Sus scrofa: one gene and its partners. The protein of the gene in region 2 interacts with the protein of the main gene of each other region in a biochemical or structural test. Links are inferred from orthologs where the notes say so. Each region holds a gene or a part of one and is shown on either strand. Other genes may lie near its edges.

The links.
Region 1: the proteins of TEK (region 2) and ANGPT4 form a complex in vitro, tested with the Homo sapiens proteins (2 studies listed by BioGRID and IntAct). The link is inferred for Sus scrofa from reciprocal best matches to the Homo sapiens genes TEK and ANGPT4.
Region 3: the proteins of TEK (region 2) and ANGPT2 form a complex in vitro, tested with the Homo sapiens proteins (7 studies listed by BioGRID and IntAct, with this or other methods). The link is inferred for Sus scrofa from reciprocal best matches to the Homo sapiens genes TEK and ANGPT2.

Annotation. Positions count from the first base shown.
Region 1 is NC_010459.5:34,377,717-34,388,385, reverse strand, and holds part of ANGPT4 (angiopoietin-4), read right to left. Parts: intron 7,628-10,669; coding exon 7,512-7,627; intron 4,572-7,511; coding exon 4,470-4,571; intron 3,175-4,469; coding exon 3,008-3,174; intron 1-3,007. UniProt on the Homo sapiens protein: Binds to TEK/TIE2, modulating ANGPT1 signaling. Can induce tyrosine phosphorylation of TEK/TIE2. Promotes endothelial cell survival, migration and angiogenesis.
Region 2 is NC_010443.5:195,955,692-195,966,360, forward strand, and holds part of TEK (angiopoietin-1 receptor), read right to left. Parts: intron 9,974-10,669; coding exon 9,839-9,973; intron 6,045-9,838; coding exon 5,757-6,044; intron 4,359-5,756; coding exon 4,059-4,358; intron 2,088-4,058; coding exon 1,933-2,087; intron 289-1,932; coding exon 78-288; intron 1-77. UniProt on the Homo sapiens protein: Tyrosine-protein kinase that acts as a cell-surface receptor for ANGPT1, ANGPT2 and ANGPT4 and regulates angiogenesis, endothelial cell survival, proliferation, migration, adhesion and cell spreading, reorganization of the actin cytoskeleton, but also maintenance of vascular quiescence.
Region 3 is NC_010457.5:37,552,426-37,555,925, forward strand, and holds part of ANGPT2 (angiopoietin-2), read right to left. Parts: intron 887-3,500; coding exon 785-886; intron 222-784; coding exon 55-221; intron 1-54. UniProt on the Homo sapiens protein: Binds to TEK/TIE2, competing for the ANGPT1 binding site, and modulating ANGPT1 signaling. Can induce tyrosine phosphorylation of TEK/TIE2 in the absence of ANGPT1.

The DNA of each region.
Region 1 (10,669 bases), on a different chromosome or scaffold from region 2:
GCCTGTGGACATACTCACCCCCAGACATGCATGACACATTGCACTGTGAGCAGCTTTGAGGGGTCAAGCGCAGGTTTGAGTCTTCCCCAAGGCCAGCTCGTGCTCAGCACAGGGCACGTGTGCAATATACCATTAGTATTATTTAGGGCTCCACGGAGGGTCAGATAGATGTGGGCCCTCTTGAACCCTGAGCATAACAGTCTGGAACCTTGGGCAGGGAGCTCTCCATGGCTCAGATAAAAAGCCAGAGGCAGGGCATCAAATTCACATAGGAGAGTTCCAAATATAATATACATGTATGTACTTGTTTATGGATGGATATAAATAATTGAGATATATGTAGATGCAGAAATATCATATTCCTGTCTTTGAATTATATTGTTTGTATATATCCACCATTGGTTTTTTATTTTTTATTTTTGTCTTTTCAGGGCCACACCTGTGGCATATGGAAGTTCCCAGGCTAGGGAGTGAATTGGAACTGCAGCTGCTGGCCTACACCACAGCCACAGCAATGCAGGATCTGAGCCATGTCTGCAACCCACACTGCAGTTCACAGCAACGCTGGATCCCCAACCCACTGAGCGAGGCCAGGATACTAGTCAGGTTTTTTACTGCTGAGTCACAATGGGAACTACTCCCCACCCCCTGCCTTTTTTTTTTTTTTGAGCCACCATTTATTTAACACTTATGCTAGGCGTTTTTCCACAGATTATTTCAATTATGACATATAAACTATATTTTACAGATAAGGACCGAAGCACAGAGAGATTAGTAACTTGTCTAAGGTCATGAAGCCAAAAAAGCAGTAGAGTCAGGGTTTGTATATAGAGCCTGGCTCCAGGGCCATGTTCTTTTTCTTTTTTTTTTTCTTTTTATAGCCACACCTGAGGCATATGGAAGTTCCCAGGCTAGGGGTTGAATCAGAGCTGTAGCTGCTGGCCTATACCACAGCCACAGTAACACCAGATCGGAGCTGTATCTGCAAACTATGCTACAGCTCGAGACAACACCGGATCTTTAACCCACTGAGCGATGCCAAGGATGGAACCCGCATCCTAATGGACACTATGTCAGGTTCTTAACCCTTTGAGCCACAGTGGGAACTCCAGGGCTGTGCTCTGTAGTGCAATGAGATACTTTTCTTGATGTTTCTTCCCCAAGAAAAATAGCGGATTCTGGACCTAGGCCACAGAAGCTGATGCCCAGGATCTGGGTCATGGAGATGAAGCTGTTACGTGTGTAGGGAGGACCAGGGAGGCTCCCCCAGCTTCCTGTTATGCTCTTACCATGTCCCAGGCACTGGGGATGGGAACAGCAGTGAACTTGCACGGAGCAGGCCAGCCAAGTGTGGGAAGGGCTGGCTCAGGGACAGTAATTACAATATTATTTACTGAATATTTATTAAGTACCAGCGTTGACGCTCTACATGTAGTATCGTTAGAGCTTCATAACACTTTGAATGAGGGAGGTATACCCAGGGCACCGATTTTGCGGATAAGAAGGTGAAGGGACTTGCTCAAAGCCACTCAGGGAGATGGGGATAAAGCCAGGAGTTAACCTTGGCTTCGCAGGACAGTGGCTTAAATAGGAATCAGCAGGGTGTTGTGGGTTCTCAGCCGGAGGAGCTGGGGGCATCCAGCTCAGCCCTGCCTAGCCCAGGCCAGGGGATGCTTCATTCAGCTCTGGACCCTGCACTTGGAGGAGGGACATTATCCGATTGGGTTCGGTTCTATAGGAGGGATGTAAGAACCAGCTCCCTGGGGCATTTCATAGAAGGGAGGGGTTAGGGGCACAGCACTGAGAAGCCCTCAGAGGTGGAATCAGGCTTGTAGTGCAAGGGGGCAGAGAGTCATCAGAGATGATTTGGGAGGACGTGACCTCCCCATTAGTGGAGGCATTCCAGCCGTGGCTGGGTGATGATTATGGCTGTGGAAGGGAGTCTAGCATCATATGAAGAACCAGATGACGTGTGGTATCTTTGTGGCCCTGGAGCTTGCATCTACTCAGTTCTGGCCTGATTCCAGGATAGCTTATGTTCAAGATCCTTGAGTTTCAAAACCAGGGCCTGCCTAACCTGTAACTTTAGGCAGGGGACAAAAGCTCTGTGTCTTGGTTTCTTTGTCTTTTTCTTTTTTTTCCTTTTTAGGGCTGCACTAGTGGCATATGGAAGTTCCCAGGCTAGGGACTGAATTGGAGCTATAGCTGCCAGCCTATGCCACGGCCACAGCAACATGGGATCTGAGCTGCGTCTGCAACTTATACCACAGCTCATGGCAATGCCAGATCCCCCACCTACTGAGAGAGGCCGGGGATCAAACCCACATCCTCATGGATACTATTGGATTCATTTCCGCTGCACCACAAGGGGAACTCCTTGTGTCTCAGTTTCCACATCGCTAAAACAATGCTTACCTAAGAAGGCGGTGGGGAGGATTAAATGGAATTGTGTGCCTGGAACATAGTAGGTGCTCAATAAAATGCTCATTCCTTTTCCTGAATGGAGCCAAGAACCAGGCTGAGGGAGGGGTGGGAGACCTTGATTCTAAAATATGCTTTAAGCCCATCCTGTAGTTAAAAAGCAGAGGTCCAGAGAAGGCTACTTGACTCGCCCAAGTTCCCAAAGTGAACTTGAGCAGAGCCAGAACGAACCCAACCCCCCGATTCCTAGCCTCGAGACTGTTCCGCCTCATGCCACCGCACAGGACAGGCTGGGAAGATCACCACCCTGCTTCTGGGCCTCTGTTAAATGACCGACTTGGGGTGACTGACCTTGGAAGGCCCTTTCCTGCTCTTAGGAGGGCAGCATCAGGGACATTCTCTCCACCCCACCAGTGGCCGGGATGTGCTGAGTGCTAACCAGCCGCCTCCAGATCCCATGACGTGCGCCCAAATGGGGGACAGATGGCGGGATCAGGAGACGCCCAGGGACTGACCCCTGGTGCAGATGCTGTAGCCACTAGCCCAGGGCCTCCAGCCCACCCACCAGCCTGGGCCCCAAGCCCACCTGTACAGCTGCCCCTCGCTGCCCAGCTGGAAATGCTCATACTGGGCATAGGCTTCATTGCCTTCCCAATCTTGGAGCTCCACACGCAGAGAATAGGCTGCCCTGCTGGTGAGCTGGTGCACCACCTCGTTGCCCAGCCAATGCTCCCCGGCTGGGTTGCCGAAGCCCTAGGGAAGGGGAGAAGAGGGGTGGGCTGCATGCCAAGGATGCGGGTTATGCCTCTGGTTACGCCCATTGTGAGAATGGGCTGGGCCAGGCTCTGGGGACACTTACCCGAAACCACTTTGCTTAATGACCGAGTTGATAAAGTATAGTCCAGGCAGGCCTGGGGATGGGAGCTCCCTACCTCCTAGAGCAAAAAGACTAAGACCTTTGTAAATGTAAAAACTTGTTAAAATGTAAAAATAACTGAAAGTACATTTCTATGAAGTTCAAGAGCAGGCAAAAACCTGTGGTGATAGACATGAGAATAGCAACTGCTTTGGGGGGAGTACAGACCTGGAGGGGACATGAGGAGGGCTTCTGGGGTGCAGGAAGTGCTGTATACCTAGCTTTGAATGATGGTCAGGTGGGTGAATGCATATGTGGAAATTCACTGAATCTTACACTTAAGATTTGTGCACTTAGCCGAGTGCATATTAAATCTCAATTAAAAAATAAAAACTCAAATTGGCTGCATAAATGGTAGAGCAAACTTTGATCAGTGACATGGCAGCCACTGCAAAGTTTCAGTGACATAGAAGTGGAAAGCTAGGAGCGTTGGGTTTCTTGCCATCAGTGTCCCAGAGTGGCAAGAAACCAATGCCCCTGGCCGGAACAATGATTCAGCACCAAGGACAAGGCACGCCAAAGCCCCACTCCCCATTTTGGTCATGCTGCACTACCTATCAGTCCAATGGTTACTATTCAGCACTCTTTGGTGTATTTCTGTCTCTGAGCACCCTATTTCTTGTTGTCATTTTAATGATTCTTTAAATCAATTGAGATTAAAGAATCTTGGGTTTAAGAACACATAGCTTCCTTTGGTATTTATTTTTTAATATTTATCAAATGAACAGCAAGCAGACACACAAAAATAGTATTGTCATGTATCTGTGCAAGTATCTTTTTCTATTCCTTTCGTTCTTGAAAACTTTAAGAGCTTTTGAGTCAGCTTGCCAAAAATTCTTTATTCAAAATTTAATTAAAAAAATTGGAAGGCAATCCGACACTATTCCTTGTCTTGTAAAATGCATGGGGTCTTTGAGCCAGCAATTTTGCATAAAAAAAAAAAATCTCTCCTGCAGTGTCTCCTACATTGCTAAGACAAAGACCTTCATTTAAGCAAGGCAGGCAGGGGTCGGCAGCAGAGATGACTTTTTTCTGTTTCCTTTCCTGTAGCCTTTAAAAACCCTTGCCCATAGCCCCCTTCCTGCCCCAGATTTCGGGGCTAAAAAGCTTCTCCCCAGGGCAGCAGTGTTACCTGTTTGTAATCCTTCCAGTTGCGTTGGAAATTCACGCTGCCATTCTCGCGGCGCTGGATGAGGGTCCACCCACCTCCGTTGGCCTCCAGGTCACAGAACACCTGGAGGGAAATGGGGAGGGGAAGCTGGAAGCCCTAGGAGGTAGCCAGATGCCAGGTCTGGTCCAGCCTGAGGGTGACTTGATTGACAGAACCTCACAGAGCGGCGGGCCAGCCAGGCTGTCAAGAGCATCAGAAAGAACCAGGTCCAAACTCCCTATTCTTGTCTTCATTTCTCTAAAGTGCTGGGCAAGTGATGGCGTCTTGGAGCCTTCCTTTCCTCATTTTTTTTTTTTTTTTGGTCTTTTTTGTTTTTAAATTTTAGGGCCGCACCTGTGGCATATGGAGGTTCTCAGGCTAGAGGTCGAATCGGAGCTGTAGCTGCCGGCCTACACCGCAGCCACAGCACCGCCAGATCCTAGCCGCGTCTGTGACCTACACCAGAGCTCATGGCAATGCCGGATCCTTAAACCTGCTGAGTGAGACCAGGGATCGAACCCGTGTCCTCATGGTTCCTAGTCAGATTCGTTTCTGCTGAGCCGTGACGGGAACTCCCCTTCTCTCATTTTCAAATTGAGGATATTAATACCTTAACCTCTTTGTGCCTCAGTTTCTCATCTGAAAACTGGGATCGTTGTGAGAATTAAATGAGTCACCCACTAAAGAACAGAGCCTGGCACATACTAGGAACCAAGCAAATGGAAACTTTTCATTCACTGTTACTGCAAGGTTGCTGTGAGACATAAATGCCAAGGTGTATAAAGCGCTTGGCACACAGTGGAGTTTAGGAAATGTTATTACCTTCAGTGGACAAATGTTTTCTGAGCACTTACTACACGCCAGGCTCCATTCAAGGCACAGGAGATGCCAACATGGATGCTACAAAGAGTTCTATCTCTCAAAGAGCTTCCCATCCATCACAATCACATCTTTCAGTTTAACTTTTGCTCACATACGATTTTTCCATCACAGTGTTCTGGGAGGGCACACTTGGTACCTGGCCCTGTACTAGATGAATCAGAGACAAATCAGAGATAAATGAACCCCCAGAGCTGGCTTGGTCTGGAGTAAGCTAGCAGACTGACAGGGCTAGGTCTGATAGGGCTGGAAGACTACTGAATATGAATATTTGGGCAGCAATAAGGAGAGTTCCCCCAAAGAGTCATGGGGCAACCCCAGAAGTCTTCTCGGGGGAGGTGGCACTGGAACAAGGCCTTGGATGATGTACCTGCCAGATAGAGATGAACGGAAATGGCATTTCCAGTGGAGGGAGCAGCAGGCGTAGGGACTCTGAAAGGATAAAGGCCTACTCAGGGAGAGAAGACAGTGACATCTCTTGTGAGGGTAGCAGAGGTGGCAGGAAGGGAAACTGAGGCCCAGAGAGGGGAAAGGACTTGCTCAAGGCAAATGGGTCAAAATTGAAGCTGAAGTTTGAGCCCTGATCTCTTACTTCCTAGGCCACCTCTTCCCTCTCTATCAGAGTTTCCAAATTTTAGCTATTCACGCCTTCTGAATTTCCACTACAGCTGAATTTACTTAACTTCATATAAAATTCATAAAATGGTGTCTTTTTTTTTTTTTTTTGTCTTTTTGCCTTTTCCAGGGCTGCTCTCGTGGCATATGGAGGTTCTCAGGCTAGGCGTCTAATCAAAGCTACAGCTGCCAGTCTACACCACAGCTACAGCAACGTGGGATCTGTGACCTACACCACAGCTCACGGCAACGCCGGATCTTTAACCCACTGAGCAAGGCCAGGGATTGAACCCGCAACCTCATGGTTCCTAGTTGGATTCGTTAACAACTGAGCCATGACGGGAACGCCAATGGTGTCTTTTTAAAAGCTTAAATACTCAGATCAAATGTGTTTTAAAAGGAAATCTCATCAATACCCTAAAAGGGAAAATTAGTAAACTCACCTTTATTCAGATAATTGTAAAAATACATACAATGAAGACAAAAGAGTGTTGCAATATTCTGGCTAGAAATTGAAGGCCCGATCTCTTTTTATTAAAAGGGGGGTTTAGCAGGTGTATGAGAACTGTTAAAGACACTCTGCGCTGCTCTCCTTGATAGATTCAGTAGGGTCCAAAGAAAACTGACAAGGGAATATAAAGTGGGGAAACTGGCTAGTTGTTCCCCAAACTCTTCTACCTCTGGGCCTGGCCCCCCAATTTCCCATCCTGACATCCACAATTTCCCTTGACCATCCTCCCATATGATAATTGAACCTCAAAGTTCAGGGCAACCTTGGGAGCCACTCATTGAAGGTGGTGGGGCCTCTATCAGCCCCCATCCCCAATTTGCACCCATACCTGCCTTCAACTGGACTGTATGTAAATTAGAAATAAACTTCTTTGTGTTAAGCCCAAAGTTAAGTTCTTTGTGGAACTGAAATTCTTAAAGGTTTGTTGGTTATATCAGCTAGCATTTACCTGAACCGACAGAGAACCGTTTCCTGCTATTCCAACTTAAAGGCATCCCTGAGAGTTCCCGTCATGGCTCAGTGGTTAAGGAACTGGACTAGCATCCATGAGGACGCGGGTTCGATCCCTGGCCTTACTCAGTGGGTTAAGGATCTGGCATTGCCGTGAGTTGTGGTGTGGGTTGCAGATGTGGCTCAGAACCCGCGCTGCTGTGGCTGTGGTGTAGGCCAGAGGCTATAGCTCTGATTCGACCCCTAGCCTGGGAACCTCCATATGCCGCTGGTATGGCCCTAAAAGACAAAAAGACTAAAAATAAATAAATAAATAAATAAAATAAGGCATCCTTGGAAAAGATGCTGGAGAAGGATGTGTCACCAGCTTTGGGACCTTCTGCTTTAACTGCATGATCTGACACCTGAATGGGTTGGGGCTCCAGAAGGTAGGGTCACACCCACCTTCTCCAGAATCTCAGATGTTGGACAAGGCCTGAAGCTGAAGTGGGGGTAGGGTTGGAGGGTTGTCTGAGCAGCCTTTGGCTCGGCACCCTCTTATGGCCTTGGCCCCCAGGGAGCCCCCTGACCTTTCTGGGCTCTGTCACGTTGGCCACATGGATGGTGTAGATGCCGCTGGCATTGGCCCCGAAGCGCTGGATCTCTGCACAGTCTTGGAACACCTGCTCAGCTGCCCTCATGGAGGCTGCAGTGGGACAAGGTAAAAACAACTGGAAGTGAGCTAAGGCGAGTGGGAAGGCATCAGGGGTCACTCCAGCCTGCTCTGTGTCAGGTTTTGGGCTGGGAGGTGCTGGGGACAGGGAGATGTATTGGACCTGGAAGGTTTCCTAGAGGAGCTGACGGTGAGCTGGGACCTGGACAAGGAGCAGGAGGCGCCCGCACGAGAAGGGGCGAGGGTCCCAGGCACAGGGAACAGCATATGCTCAGGCTCCACGGTGGGAACAGTCCTGGCGGGTGCAGGGAACGTGGCGAGGGGAGCTGACGGAGGCCATGGACGGGAGATGACTCACACCCTGATGGCAGAGCGGAGGCCAGAGGGCGCTCCGGCCGTTTGATGGACCTGAGAGGAATGGGGTGAGGCTGGCACAGAGGAGGTCAAGGAAGAGAGATGAGCTGAGAGTTTGGCCTTGAATGCCAGGCTGAGGAGTCCAGTCTGTGCTGAGGAAGAGCGCTCTGGCCAAAGTGTAGAACAGCCACCAAAGTGGATGAGACTCAGAGCAAGGAAGCCAGAGATAAACTTCTGGAATCTTCTAGGACAGGTAACTGGGGCTTGAGCTCTACTGAGGTCCATTTGACAGGCCAGGAAGCTGAGGCCCAAGAGTGCTCAAGGGCACAGAGCTGGTGGGGCAGGAGGAGGTGGGCAGGGCTTTCCCTCTCCCCAGGTCTTATGGGCCAGAGTGCCCTCCACAGCCTACTCCTTCAGCCAGAGAGCCTTGCAGCCCTGAAGGTGGGCCCCCTCACTAGGCCCGCCCTGGGAGCTGACTGACTGCTGGCCTCAAGTGCCGAAGCATCTTACCTCAGGAGAATATTAATTTAATGGCTGAATCCCACCAGGGCCCCAAGGGCCTCCAGGCCCAGCCTGAAAAAAGACTCTTGGTAAATAAACAATAGAAGTTTCCCATCCCTTCTCTGGCTCTTTTCATGGGATCCAGTGAGAGCTTGGGCTATGATTCCACCAGAATCCTATCTCTGGGTAGGTGGGTATCCGAGGATAGGGTTGGAGTTCCAGATGGATACATATCTGCATCAGCGGAGAACCAGGAAGCTACCAAGGGGTCTTTTGGCCTCATACTTGAACTTGGATTCTGAGTCCTGGAGCTGGGGCCCTGTTAAAAGGAGACTGCTGTTCCCAGACGACAAATGAAGGGACCAAGGCCCCAATCCACCCGAGTCTGTGCACCAACTTTCCCTGGGCAGGGTCTCCACAGCCTTACCTGTCAGCCACCCTGGGCCCTGGGGAACAGGAGTCCAGCTAAGCCTGGTAGGGTGCTGGCCTGGAGGTGGGCTGGGACAGGCCTAGGGCAGAGCTAGGAGCTGGCCTCAGAGTTCCAGGCACTCTTGCCTAGGTCCTGTCCACTACAGTTGTCCTTAGTCAATGACAATAGTCTCACCAACAGTAATGACAACAAAAGTGACATACCCACCATGGATTGTAGTGTTTCTTGGCCAGTGACGGCCATGGGCAGTTTGGAGCCAGGAAAAATATTTCAGGGAGCATAAGAGCAAGGATGGACCAGTATGGACATGCAACATAGTCTGGCCCCAGCCTGGAGCCCTGAATCTTTGAACCAGCTTCACCTCCTTTTGGCCCTAGGCCCTGTGCTCAGCCCCTTTGCGTGCTTGAACTCATTTGATCCTGTGCAAGAACTCTGTGAGACAGGTGCCATTATTAGGCCCATATTATAGGGAAGGAAAATTGAGACTCTAAGACGTTAAATGCGTGCAAAGCGCGGGTGCTAGTCAGCGAGGGAGCCAGAGCTCGAACCCTGCTCCATCTGACTGGAGAGCCAGTGCCTTTCCTATGACCCGCCTCCCCTTGGGTCACCGCCACGGAGTGGCTGTAAGGCTGGACAAAGAGACCTCGTCACTCCATGCTGCTTCGGACACTGTGCATTGGAGAGGTCTTTTCTACCTGGGTCCCCACCCTTCTAACATTTAGAAGGCCCCGAGTTCTCCACCCCTTGTCCGCCTCCGCCTGCCTAGGACAAAGCCATGCAGAGAGGGGTGCAGGCTTCCCGCTGGCCTTCATGGATGCCCGTTTTCTGTGCCCGTCTCTGTTCAATTTTTTTTTTTTTCTTTTTAGGGCCACACCCACAGCATATGGACGTTCCTAGGCTAGGGGTCAAATCAGAGCCACAGCCACAGCATCTTGGGATCCGAGCTGCATCTGCGACCTACACTACAGCTCATGGCAACACCAGATCCTTGACCCACTGAATGAAGTAGGATTTGAACCTGCATCCCTGTGGATACTAGCTGGATTAGTTTCCACTGCTCCACAACGGGAACTCCTCTGATCTTCTGTTCTACACCTGCCGACTAATTCTCTTCCAGTTTTTCCATCTAGACAGGAGGGAGAAATGACTCCTAGGGCCTCTTCCCTGGACACAGTGGGACAGGAGGACAGATGTTTGGGCAAAGGGTGCCTGAGGTGCCCATCACCACCTCCCTGGTGAGCCTGGGGAGCACACACCGGGTCACAGCTGGTGGTTGGGTCAGCGGTGAACCTGTGGGGAAGGGGTCAGGCCCAGGCCGCGTGACACGGGATTAATTTAGGCAGCCGCACTGCTGAGGCTCTGCACAAGCCAGGGATGGGTTCCCGTCACTCCTAATCTCCTGGTTTGGAAGGCGCCCACCCCCTTTGCCTGTGGCTACCTCAGGCCTGAGACCCCTCCCTGGTGGGGCCTACCCGACTTAGGTGGAGCCATGGTGCCACCTTTTGTCCCCAAATCTCTGCCAGACATAGAGCCTGGAACCCATCGCTGTTGTTTGATTCCTTGAGCCTTAAAGGATTTCCAGTCTCCCCCTTCTGGTGACCTAGTCGCAGAAGGAAACCTTTCTTTGTCTTTCTCCTCAAGCCATTTTCCCCTCCCGGGTTCCTCAAACTTGGTCCCCCTCTGTTCAAAACCCTGCGGTGGCTCTTCACTGCCCTCAGCTTAAAGTTTCCTATCCTGCGGCCAGGCTTTTAGGCTTTCCATGGTCTGGAAACTTCAGGAATACTGTTAGC
Region 2 (10,669 bases):
GAAATATTCAACAGGAAGTCAAGTTATCCCACCCCCCACCCTAGTGAAATGCAGACTCAATCTGGCCAAGCACTGACCTTTCATTCTCTTGATGGCAGCGTCCATCCTTAACCCATCCTTCTTGATGCGAGCCTTAAGGACCTGGCCAAAATTACCCTCCCCAATCACATCTTGAAATTTGATGTCATTCCAGTCAAGCACTGGATAAATTGTAGGATCTGGGTTGTTTTTGGCCTTCCTGTTCAGGGCCAGAGTTCCTGAGTTGAACTGCACAGCTGGTTCTTCCCTCTAGAGAAATAGAAGGTTTGTGTTAGGATTTTTCATAATTTTAAGGTACGTAATACCTCCTCGCTTATACTCACAATAGGTGGGGAAAAAAAGAAATATTATATCCAATTCTAGACTGAAGAAAGAAATAGGGTTCATCCAACAGTCCCCCTCAAATGAAGTGGCTGCCTTTAGAGCTGCATGGGCACAATTCTGGACTTCAGTGGGAAAGCATGCCACAATCGATTAACTATGTCTGCAGAGGTGAGGGAGGGGAGAATAACAGTACGTATGCCACAATATAGCATGTCCCTGACTTAGTCATACTTGAGTTTCCACTCTGCTGTGGAATGAGCAGGTGTTAGTTTTGGTTTGGAAAAGAACTCAGAGATCCATCTAGACCAGTCAACAACATGCCTCTGTAAGAGCTTCCCTAACATCATCTTAGAATATTCTTGGCTCTTACTCAGTTTCTTCTACTTGTTCTAAAGCTCAGAATCTCTCAAGCCCATGCTGGTGAAGACCTTGGCCCCAGGATGACTAATGCTGAGGGCATAGCTCAACACAGTACCTGCTTTTCTCCTGAGTTTAAGAGGCTACTTATGGTATCATGACAAAGCACCAGTACCATGACCAGCTCCAGAACTCTCAACCCCCTTGCTACTCTCCAGTGACAGCCTGAATTGAGCCACTTCTGCCAAGGAGTTATATTACACTTTCCTTGTCCTCCACTGAAGGTAATCTCAGGGACTCATGTAGATGAAGTTATATACCTCACTTGGAATATGTAATTGTACTCACTGTTTTATAAAATTAATAAAGCTGGGTACAGATTAATTTTACAGAGCTTGAAACCACAAACAAGAGGAATATTCAGGCTATAGTATATCAAAGGGCTCAGATGGGGTGGCTATAGGTAAAGTATGAATTTGTAAACCTTTGTTACTGGCCAAAGTTCCTAGATGAAAGAAGGAGGCAGTTCCAAGTGCCATGAACTATGGTTGCAGACTGAAAGGTACACAGGAATGGAGATATACATGAATATATATATATATATATATATATATATAATTCACATGTATCTGAGGAATAATAGGGTTGACCTAACACTAGGATGACTATTCTCTTTTTGATGGGCAGTAGTTCTGCTTTAGGCTTGGTTTCCTGCATAATTTTTTTTTTTTTTTTGCTTTTTTTAGGGTCACACCTGCGGTACGTGGAGGTTCTCAGGCTAGGGGTCCAATCGGAGCTACAGCTGCCAACCTACACCAGAGCCACAGCAATGCCAGATCCAAGCCATGTCTGCAACTTACACCACAGCTAATGGCAATGCCAGATCCTTAAGTGAGCGAGGTCAGGGATCGAACCTGCATCCTCATGGATCCTAGTCAGGTTCGTTAACTGCTGGGCCATGACAGGAACTCCTCCTGCATAATTGTTAAGAGTAACTTCTTCACTCTCAGAATTGTTCCAATTTGGACAAGAAATTGTATTATAGTCATGCTAGTTGTCTCCCACTTCATAATGAAAGACAAAGAAAAGATGAAACTTGCCTAAGCGAAGTATCTGCTTTACAAGTAAATTTTCTGGCCCACATCTTTAAAATGAAGATACAGCAAATATGCGGACTTGCATTTAGTAGCTACTAGGAAGATGAGACACTACCACATTTTGGAAGGCTTGGGCCATTCTCCTTTGGACATTTGCCCTCTTCAACTGCAACATGATCAGAAAGGCCAAGAGCACTGTCAGGCAGGTCATTCCCGCTGAGCCAAGGATGGCTATAAGTAGCATCTTCCCACCTCCAAGGTCTGCTGGTGCTGTGCAGGAGAACATGGGAGAAGCAGAAGGTTAGTCTAGGTAGAGAGACAGGCCAAGACTATCTGCAGGAGAAGTCACAGTGTAATGGCAATGTAATGGCAGCCTGAGCCCTGCCACCTAACGGCTAGGTGACTGTGGGCTACTCATTCATTTTTAGGAAGTCAGTGAAGATGAGTCAGATTCATAGGGCTGTTATAAGTTCAAGGAAATGTGCAAAGGGGCTTTTCAAATGGCAACATGCTAATCATTTGTTGTTCCTTGTTCAACTTTCACTTCCAAGTAGAGGCCCAAGCAGAAGAATATTACCAAATAACAGTGAGAATGACTAACTACATCTATGATTTTGGGAAAGTGACTAAACCTTCCTGAACAATTTCTCTACCTAGAAAAGCTTTAAAGTTTATGCTACTAAAAGCATAGAGTCTGTAGGATATTTTGTTTTGCTTTTTTCCTGTTTTAAAGAGCTGATGGATAAAAACTGAGAATCTCATTGGGAGAAGGAAGGAAAGAAGAGAAAGAATAGAAAAATCATTAAATTTAGGACTCAGTTAAATCAACTATTAAAGACAGTGGTATAATCCTTCCACTTCTTTCCCCTTTTTAAATTCAAATAAAATTAAATTCAATTATTTTTATGAAAAACAGCATGTACAGCAATGATCCCAGACATGGGATCAATAAAGAGATGTCTGAAATAGAATGGTGAGGGTTTTTTAGTTTTGTTACGTCTTATTTTTTAATTTTTCTCTTTGTATTTTATTAAGAGCTTGTATTTAGGACTTGTATAAGTTTACCAAAACATAAGTAACTATAGAAATGATGCATTTATTAAGAATGTCATCTGAAACCTATGATTCTCTATAATTGACAGACATTTCTCAGACATTTCAAAAATGTTCCAAAGAATTAGTATTGAAAACAGAGTTAATTCGATTTTAATTTGTAAGCCCTACATATCCTTCAAGAGGACCAAGGAATTTTTAGTGCTATAAGATTTCCTGTAAAAATGCCCTGGTCTGAATTAAAAATTTGCAAAAATCACTGTTTCCCTCTAATGTTTCTCTGTCTCCATTCCCCTGTATAAGCTGTACAGTGCAGAGGGCCAAGCGGTACAATTTCAGACAGATCTCGAAGGATAGGAGCTATCCCAGCATCCTTGTTCTCTAATTATATTCAACAGGTTTTATCAAGCCCAACTGCTAGAGGAGTCTAAGAGGTACAGCCCTCCAGTTATGAAATAAATAAACCCCTGGGACATAATATACAACATAAGGAATATGGTCAATAATATTGTAATAACTTTGTGTGGAGAAAGATGATTACTAGTAGTAATCATTTCATAATATACGCAAATGTCAAATCACTAAGTAGATACCTGAAACTAATAATATTGTACATCAACTATATTTCAGTTTTTAAAAATCACAAACATTTGGCCCAGTGCAAGGTGCTTGGCACTTTGAGGAATCTCCACCTCAAAGAGCTAATTCTCCCTGGGGTGGGGGTTGGTGGTGGATGTGGAGACATCATGACCTGGATCTGAAAAGTAAAAGAAAACTCAGGATATCACAGTGTCATCTAAGCTAAAAAACAAGTTCATATTGAGAAAGAATGGAGCTTGGTTCCTGGCATCTCCCACTAAAGCACCTTGCAGACCTGCCTCCACTAAGCAGGTTCCACATTCTTCTTTCTCCACAGGATCAAATTCAGATCCCTCAGAGCTTCAACTGCTGGATGGGGAGTTCTGATGGGCTAGACTCATCTACAGTTTAATGATAGAAAATGGATCAGCAGAGTATCCCTCCAAGGGATATTTTCATTTCAAGGACATCTCTAGAGATGGTGACATCTATTAGGATAAGCTGATTATGTCACATGATACTAATATGGGATAAATATCTTAAAACAATGAGGCTTTTCTGATAATCTCCAGAAATAATTCTATGTTAACATCTGTCCACTCTACCAACCTTGAGATTCAGAAAGAGTCATCAGTTCAAGAGAAGAGGTTGGATTGCTTGACCCTATGTTGTTCTCTGCAAAGATGTCCACCTGGTAAGCTGTTTCAGGCTCTAGACCCTTGAGCTGATACTGGGTAATGGTGGCATTCTTGATCTTCACATCAATGTGCTGGTCTTCATTTTTGCCCTGTACCTTGTAACGGATGATGACAGAAGAAATGGAATAGCCATCCAAGATTGTCCAAGAGATCACGGCCGAGGAGTCTGTGACATTGGAAATCTTGATGTTTTCTGGTTGAGGAGGGAGAACTAGAAATTGTAAGACAAACAGGCAATATTTTATTTAAGATATATTACCATCGCTCAGGTTATTATGTTTTTTTACCATTTTTTTTTTTTTTTCCCAGGTTAGGAGTCGATCAGAGCTGCAGCTGCCAGCCTACACCACAGCAACAGAAATACCAGATCCAAGCCATGATTTACAATGTTGGGCCAATTCAGGATTTTTTAAAAATGATGAAGTCATCCCTAAACACTTGAGACTTCCACATATTATTGATCAAGAAGAGAGTGGCTGGAGAAACACTAAGCCAGCTGCACACCTGTTCCTGGGGAATTGGAGTCCCAGCTGCCGAGAGAATCTCAGACTTTGGAGACTGACAAGAGAGCAGGATCCCAGCAGATGTGATACTGGTGTGACCCAGAAATACCTAGTTTTTCCAAGGACTCCCAAATGCATAGACATGGTTCTAATGCAGTGAATAAAATAGAGCTCTCAGAGTTCCTGTTGTAGCTCAGCGGTTAAGGAACCCAAGCAGTATACATGAGGATGTGGGTTCGATCCCTGGCCTCACTCAGTGGGTTAAGGATCTGGCCTTACCCTGAGCTGTGGTGTAGGTTGCAGATGCAGCTCAGATCCCATGTTGCTATGGCTGTAGTGTAGGCCAGCAGCTACTGCTCTGATTTGACCCCTAGCCTGGCAACATCCACATGCCACAGATGCAGCTCTAAAAAGACAAAAAAAAACAAAAAAAAAAAAATAGATCTCTCCGGTTCAGGATGAAAAAGCTTTCAATGCTACATAGAAACCCAAGTAGTTCCAACTAACTTTTAATGAACAATATGAAATTTTTTTAAAATGCCTGAACTGAAGAATGTTTTGAAAGAAACATTGTTTTATTAATCTCCAATATAGATTGTTACTCCAAGAATTGTCTGTTTTGAAGATTTTTCAAAGTTCTTTGGCTTTTAAGATTTTTTGAGATAATTAAATAGGCTTTTTAAAAATAATTAGATAGCCGTTTTAAGACCTCTCTAATTAATCATCATCTTTGTGCATATAGATACGTGACAATCCTGAAAACAGTCCTATAACACATTCAACAAGCCCTAGAAAACTTTATTCATGCTATTCATTTATTTAATAAATAACTCTATGGAAACCACTATACTCTAACTTAAAAAAGAAAGGAAAGGTAATTTTTACCCAGTCCTGCATGAATTATAAACCCAAATTCGTGGAACTTCCGTATATATTGTAGGTCACTAAAATGATTTGATGTGTTGGTGGGGGAGGCATTAATGGGCCTCTATTCACAACTGCCTTTTATGATTTCTAAGAAACACTCTTGAAGTGATGAGAGCTAAGTCCAAATGGCAGCAGCCACCTGTCATTCAGGCAAAGCTGGGACAGCAAGAGTTACTCACTGTCACTAAGGGTCCAAGCGACGAGATCTTCACTCCACTCCCCCTGGGCCTTGGTGTTGACTCTGGCTCGGACAATGTACTTTTCCCTAGGGTGTAAATTGTTCAGTAACACTGAAGTCAAGTTGCCTGGCACTTTAATATTCTGCTGATCACTATTCACTTGTACAGACCTCCTCTCAACTTCAACATAAAAGTCATCTTCCGAGCTTGGAAATATTGGTTGCCAGGTCAAATTTAGAGTGGTCTGACTTTTTGGTAGGAGACTGAGACCTCTTGGAGGAGGAAGACCTAGGAGAAACCAGAAAGATCATTATTTTTATGTAGATAACAATCCGAAAGGACAGCTTTATAGAATAACCTTGGCTTCTAGAATAATATACATTTCACAAGCTATCAAAAAAATACGTGCTAGCTGCCATATAATAATTTTTTTCCTACCAAAACAGCAAAGCTTTAAAATATTCTAGTATGTAGTTTGAGTAACTGTAATAGAGGAATACAACCCCTTTGAAAGGTAAGTTGGAAATATTTTTCAAGAGCCCTAGAAATGACTCTATACTTCAGCCATGTAATCTGACTACCAGGGATTTATCCAGAAGAAATAACCTAAAGGAAGAGAAAAAGGGTAAGTGCATGAAGATATCCATTACAACATTATTTATAATAACAAACAATCATAAGAAACCTAAGTGCTCAAAATAAGGAAACACTTTAATAAACTATGATGTAGCCATCCAAGGGATTGGGATAGATAATTGGGAAAAGTACAGAAGCCCCTCCCTCGAAAAATTATAAGACATGAGAAAAAATTCTGAAACTTTGTAAAAATCATGTCTACAATTGGTGAAATAAGAAAGAAACTGATAAAAAATAGAAACACTGGATTCATCACGGTTGTGGGCTTGTAAGTGAATATTTGGTGTTTCTGTTCCCATTTTGTGCAATACATTTTAAAGTAATTTCAGTTACTTCCCCTTAGCAAGAACAATGGCAGATATTATAACACTATGATGGCAGGGTCAGGCCTAGAACTGCTCACATTAAGGTTTGGCTATGACCACATGCTGTCTGGCCATAAGTATCCACAAGAACCTGGGCTACCAGAGAGGTAACTGAATGGAAACAATATAGGTTTTGAAATCAAAGATGCAGGAGCATGCCCCTTTAGTTTTGTGACCTTGGGAAATTTTTATAACCTCTCCAATTTACATGTAACATGAAATGAAAATACTCAACTTCTAGACTCAGAAGGAGAAATGAGATAAGGCAGGTGAAATTGCCTGGAAGGGGTTAGGGACTTTAATGTCTTCCAGGCATTTTCTAGGAAATGCTGAATTTCCTCCCTTCTCCATTCCTTCCTTCCTTCCTACCTTCCTTACTCCTTCCTTCCTAAGCTGTTTTATCTTGTGTCAGTGGACAGTGGAGGAATCTATAAGTTTTCAACTAATAATAGTACATTGGTATTTTAAACTCCAGATATAAAGTATTTTCAAAACATAGACTAAGGACCCTCTACTCATGCATTCTCAGGAGGGATATTATTGCCACTAATGGGGCAAAAACTGGTTCTTGGGGTGTGAGAAAATTTTAGGTAGTATAGTGTTTTTTGAAGAGCTGCAGTATATACACAGATCTTTGATTATTACAATTCATGTCAGAAGATTTCTTCTTAAAGATAAAATATCTAAAAAATCTCTTTGGGGTGATAATTTAAAAATGAAAAGGAACTTGGTTAGAAGTGAGTGGAAGGATCTGTTTCTACCCATCTCACTGGCCAGTTCTGGATGCTCTGAGACCAAGGAGAACCAGAAGTCAGGTCCTGCCACCAGCCTGGAATTATGCTAAATGTCTTACTGGTCTTTTGTCCATAACCTTTGCAAATTGAGAGAGGTGGTATCACTTCCTTTTGCTCTTCTCGAAAGTTTAATTTCCAAAATAGGCCACCTGGAATTGGTAGACAGGCTTACAATGGCACAGCAGAATGGAGAGTTGATGGTTTGGAGCAATTGTGTGAACCTTATAAGCCTGTGCCTGGTACAGAGGAGTAACCCCCCAAATGATAATTTCCCTTCTTCCTTCATTTTGGGAACATGACTTTCCCTTCTCCCTTCCCTACCTGCCCTCTTTCTGCCATGTGTTCAGAGTGTGTTCTCTTCCCTCCTCTCCTGGCCTCCCTGGCCTTTACCACTCAATCAACACACTTATACTGTTGTGCAGCTGCCAAGTGAATTTAAAAACAAACATCAGCAAAATTCAAATGATGGGAAAAGATGAACCTTCAAGAATTCCCTTCCCACCCACCTCTGAGAACTACTTTGAAATACTCCAAGAGACCTCTAAACACATCCTGGTTGGAACATATTCCGAGGGCTGAAGAGAGCACACCGTGGGTCTGTGAAGTGTTTTATGTTCTGTTCCATAAATACTTTCCAGCTGAGTCAGATTATAGCCTTCCCCTTTTGATTCATCAGCACTGATCTAAGAGAGAATTAACTACCATTTGCCTTTTAGCAGCAACTTGGATGATAGTCATGCAGATTCCTTTATCCTCTCATATTCAGTTTCTAGTGTTATTCTTTGTATTTACTACCTGGTGGGTTTCCAGGAAGCCCTTTTTTACTTGTGCAATGCTTCTAGAAGCATCAGAGGAGCTTCTGAGTTTTATTTGGCTCTTTAAAGATGCTACTGGTGAGATGAACACTAGGTGGAGGGTATGGAGGGGAGAGTCTCTGTTAGGGATGCAGAGCTCCTGAGGAAGAGCTTGATACTCTTCCTAGTTTCTCACTAAATCACTCCATTTCCTTCTGCCTTTAGTAAATGGACTAAAAATAGGAAAATTCATCAATTCAGATAAGGATATGGTGGCTTTGAGCTCCCAGGTAAATATAATAAATGGAGAAACAATAATATCAAGTGGGAAGATCTAGTATGGTGATGCACCTGATCCATTAAGTACTTGTGACTCTACTTTTCAATCTATAAAATGGGGATGATGATAATTCTAAGAATTAAATAGACATGAACTTCAAACTATAAAGTTTCAAGGAGACAGTAACAGAATGGTTATATACAGTGAACACCAGAACACCAAAAAGAAATTTACAAGGGATCCAAGTGTTTCAGAGGAGGGGACCCTGGTAGTAGAAAGCTGGAGCCAAGTCAGCGCTAAGGAAATTTCACACATTCAAAGGCTCATTGAGTAACACGGTAGAAGACAAATAGCTATTGATTAACATTGATCCATCAAGAAATATTGCTACATATATTACTTAGAATGTGTTGACCCAGGACCAGCAGCGTCAAGCATATCTTGGGAACTTATTAGAAATGCAGATTCTTGAGCCCCCACCCTTACTATAAATCTACTGAATCTAAAGCTCTGGAGTTGGGGCCAAAAATCCAGTTTTAACAGGTGATGCAGGCAATTCTGATGGACACTAATGTTTGAGAACCACTGATTTAGAAACATGGAAGTATATATTAAACGGCTCAAGGAGGTAAAAGCAGCTGCCTCGAGGAAGCAGATAGGGAGGTGGAGGAATAAAGCAGAGGACATGTATTCTTTAGGTAAAAGCCTTTCATTTCTATTTGATGTTTTCACTATGTGTGTGAATTACTTTGAAAAACTAGAAATTATTTTTTAAAATAAATAAACTGGGATTTCTGAAATACATATGGACAAGAGCCTGGCCTGGGCCATTGAGATGGAAACAGGAAGCTGGTGGTAAGAGTCAGGAGCCAAGCAAGATTGAGAACGGTTTGCTACTAAGTTAATCCCAAATCCTAAGGGATGTCCTGGACTTCCTGAAGGCTCATCTGCTTCCTTCTCTGTCCCTGTGGATTGCTGCAGATCCCCTCCCTCCAGGGAGACAGACAAGGAGTACAGCCCAAATAAAGGACCAGTTTGGCTCCCAGTTGCTAGCTTTCCTGTCACTTTCCCACCCATTCAAAAGCCAACTCCTTCCACCACAATCCCAACCCACCCACTCACCCACCACCACCCTTCCTGGTCTTCCTTCCTCTTTCCCCTTCCTCCCCCACCCACCCAGCTCCTGAATAAATGCCTGTTTGCTTCAACTGACCGATAGAAGCTGTTGTGAACTGCCTTACGGGTCCAGGATGCCCTTCTCCGCCCTCTCCACGCCGGATCAGCTGCACGCAGAGCTCATATTCTGTTCGAGGTTCCAAATAGTTGAGGGTAACAATCTCACTTGTCACTGAGAAGAGAGAAAGTCCAGGAAACTTAAGTTGGCAATATTTTACATTCTTTAAACTGGAATGTTGTTATTGTGATGTGAATGAATGTTTGGTTTTAAAAATACAACGTCTGAGTGAAACAGAGAGACAAATCCATCCTCAGGGACCTCAGTGTTCCTAACATAAGGAAAATAAGGCTTTTCATGTAAGTATCACTGTGGCATTTATACATTTCTACTAGTGTTTTTGTCTTTTCAGTTGTAGAGTAAAACCACACAATCTTCAACTATATAGAATACCCATCAGATTAAGGGGGGAAAATTCAATTAAAATAATAGAATTTAACTTCTACTTTCAAGAAGTACACACAGTGATTGCAATCTCACGAGACGAGACTCCTTTAAAAGTTTGCTTGCAATGACCAGACAAGAAATTTGAAATAGTCATGTCATAACAAATTAAGGGTTCTGAAGTCCTTGAAAATAGATCCCATGCTTCTTTTCTCCTTAGCTATTTGCTTTGCTAGATTCTGTTTTTCCAGAATCTGTTTGTGTGATTATTTAATGTCAGATATTAAAAATATACAGATGCATATTTTTGCCTTACCATAAGATAAATTCCCAGCTGGTAAGAAAAAGTATTGGGCTATGTTTAATAGTTCTTAGAAGACCACTTTTGTGGATGTCCACAAAGAAATAATGTGCACTATATTTTTT
Region 3 (3,500 bases), on a different chromosome or scaffold from region 2:
GAACGATCACCAGCACCTCCCTTACCTTTTCTAAATAATGTATAATTTCCTTACCTGTAATTGAATTCTTCACTGGAGAGATAGAAGTGTTCATACAGTGAGTAAGCCTCGTTGCCTTCCCAGTCTCTCAGGTGTATCTTAAGCACGTAGCGTTTCTGATTGGTCACTTGTGACACAAACTCATTTCCCAGCCAGTGTTCGCCTGAGGGACTCCCAAAGCCCTGGAATCCGATTTGGGAAAGTCACTGACTTTACTTACTTTTCTCTTCACATATTTGAAAGCAGTAGTCCATCAATTTAGCACGGAACAACATCAGATATTCAGCAGGAATTCCTTCCTGTACTGTGAATATTTGGGGTCTTCCATATAAGAAAGATGTTCTAAAGGTCAGTTTTAAGGAACTAAGTTGTTACTAGAAGAAAACTAGGGTAATTAGAGCAGCTCAGGGCACCACCCACCAGTGGAAACATAAGCATAGACAGCTCTGTTTCTAGATGTGTGAAACACTATGAAACAAGCAGTTTACCCCCAAAATGCTAAGCCTGCCGTTAAAAATAAGCCTCTCATTTGCATGCCTTTGTTTTGATATATAGTTTACATTGCATTTACAGGACTTTTCTTTAACAGGGAGACTGAAACACCAAGAACCTTTCGGTTAAAATAAAAAAAAAAATGGTCGAAAGTCACTGGTTAGTTGTGGATTTGTGGCAAAGATTGTGCACATTCTCAAAGTTAGTTTTCACAAAGGAAATTATTTTCAGATGGTTTAAAGAATATTCATACCATTTTATATTCTTTCCAAGTCCTCTGAAAATCAACACTTCCATCTTCACGTCGCTGAATAACTGTCCATCCACCTCCACCCGTTTCCATGTCGCAGTAAGCCTACAACAGGAATGCATGGTTACTGCCTGGTGAGCTCCATGACTTGGATCTTGTCTTAAATAACAGAAGCAAGATGGACAGAGATACTTTTAGTAAGACCAGGGCTGATGGGGTTCTCTGGGGTAAATCTTCCAAGCAGCAGAGGATTTTTAAGAAATTGAAAACCATGAATTTAAATTGAGGATGCAAAACAAACAGTCATGTAACAGGATGTGTTGATGAAAATAGGACCTTATCATCATCTGTCGCCCCTGCCGACAGCTGACCCAGAGATCACTGTTCCTTAGAGATTTGTTGTGAAGGGGACATGTTGGCAGGCTGGCCCCAAACCTCTTATCTCTACCCTGTGGAAATCCATGGACTCATGCTCTCAGCCATGAAAACCTTTGTGTTGGTAACCAGTCCTTTTCACCTCTGCAGAGAGTTGGGTAAAAGGGAGACTTGCATTGTGGGGTTTCCAAAACCCTGCAAAGCTGTGGGGCTGTTAGGCTTCCTCCGTGTGTGGTCAGAGTTGGGTGGCCTGGTTCATCCCTCAGAACAAGAGGCAGAAGGCTCTCCTAGGAGTTCCCGTCGTGGCACAGCAGAAATGAATCCAGCTAGAAACCATGAGGTTGCAGGTTCAACCCCTGGCCTTGCTCGGTGGGTTAAGGATCTGGCGTTGCTGTGAGCTGTGGTGTTGGCACAGACAAAGCTCGGATCCTGCATTGCTGTGGCTGTGGTATAGGCCGGCAGCTGCAGCTCTGATTGGACCCCTAGCCTGGGAACCTCCATATGTATGCCATGGGTGTGACCCTAAAAAGAAAAGAAAAAGAAAAAAAAAGAGGCAGAAGGCTCTCCTGTACCCAGAGTGACATGTGGGACCTGAGGGCATCCTGGTAGCCCCAGCCCACAGGCCCTGCCTTCAGGCTTCTCTGCACTTTGCTCACTGCCCATGGTATTTCCCTTTCAGCTCTTTTGAGTTCTGCTTTTAAACTGGCGTGATGGGTTTAAACTTCTTCAGGACACGGAATTATTTCTTGGGTTAAGAGTATGCATGCTCAATTTCAACTCAGCTGGAGTTTTATTATGAAATTAAAAACCCCTGAAAAATAAGATTATGCAAATAGTTTTAAATAATGAGATTATAATAGATCGAAGAAGTTTTCCAGAAAGTTAAGATAAATTTCCCTATAGCCTACAAGGTAGTAAATATGATTCAAAACAAATTAGGAATATTCTTGTTTTATTGTCTTCCCTGGTCTTTGGGGGGAATAATGGAGATCATGTTGGCCAAGTGGTCTTAAATGTGACAATACTGCATTTGTGAGCTAAAATCCTAGAGAATCAGAGCTAAAAGTGATCCCAGCATGAACTACTAAGGCTTGAATTGTCCAGCCATAATGTTCTCTAGCCTTTGAGAGGCAATGATAGGATCAGGAGAACAGATTCTTAAAATTTCTTTGCCTAGATTGTGGGAAAAGAGCAGAGCGTTTATAAAAACTGAAGTATTATGGTTAGATAGATAAAGATGGTGTTGGGATGGAGTTATCCATGTAGCCACAAGGCACTGATGAAAATGAAGTAGATTACAGCAGGGTGGGAAGAGCATAAATCCTCAGATAATGCTCAAGACCTCAGTGCTCCAGTAATGCAACCCTGAGGGCAGTTAGGGTTTTTGAGTAGCACACCCTGGCTTGGCTCAGGGACCTCATATTTTGCTCTAGAGCTTGATGTCTTTCAGCAGATAATGCTTGATTTAAATGTTATGCTTCAGCTCTAAGACCCTGGTGAGTGAGTGATTAAACAGCAAACAGATAAACATTAGGAGTCAGGTGTCCTTTGCAGTTTAGGGAAGGAAACAATAATGTCTCTAACTAGCAAAACCACACCCTGAAGTTTCTGATATCTTGCACTATCTTGTACAAAAACCTGAGGAATTCTTCAGAAAAGAAGTAGAAATATTTGGGCCTCTCTGGAAGAGATCTGCCCCAAGATTGATCTAGTAAACATTCTCTTCTGGAATTGGATGGAACAGGGCAGGCCTGGGTGCTGAGAGCTTTTCTCGCAGCCTTTAGGGGCAGCTCAGAATGGTCACAGCTCCCAGCCATTGATGGAGAGTAAGCCCCATGCCCTGTGCTGGCTGCTGCATCTCTGTAGTTCCCTCTTAAAAACTAGGAGTGTCACGTCACGTCACCCATTAGGAAGCTGAGGCCTCACCCAGGGTAAACAACTTGCTAAGAGGCACACATTGACAGGGTTGGAATTTAAATCCACATCTATCTGACTCGCTCAGGTTATGAATTACAGAGGCTGAAGTCTGGAAGGGACTCCAGAGGTAACTTAATCCGGACCATATATTTTAGGGGTGAAAAAACTGAGGTTTCAAAAATTGTTGTTCCCTGCTGTGTAAATGAGTTGTTTTTACTGCGTGTGTGTAAAAGGCACATAAATCATAATGTTTCCAGCCATGGCCTGGACTTGCGTTGTCCCAGAGCTGCATATTTTCCTCTCCCTACAGCAGGGCCTCTGGGTTGCTATAGTGGAAGGGGGCAGGGATGCTGCACAGAGTCAGAAAACGGTTACACCCCCTGGGTCTGTGTGGATGGAACCCCATCGTAGTCTCCTCAAATCCTCT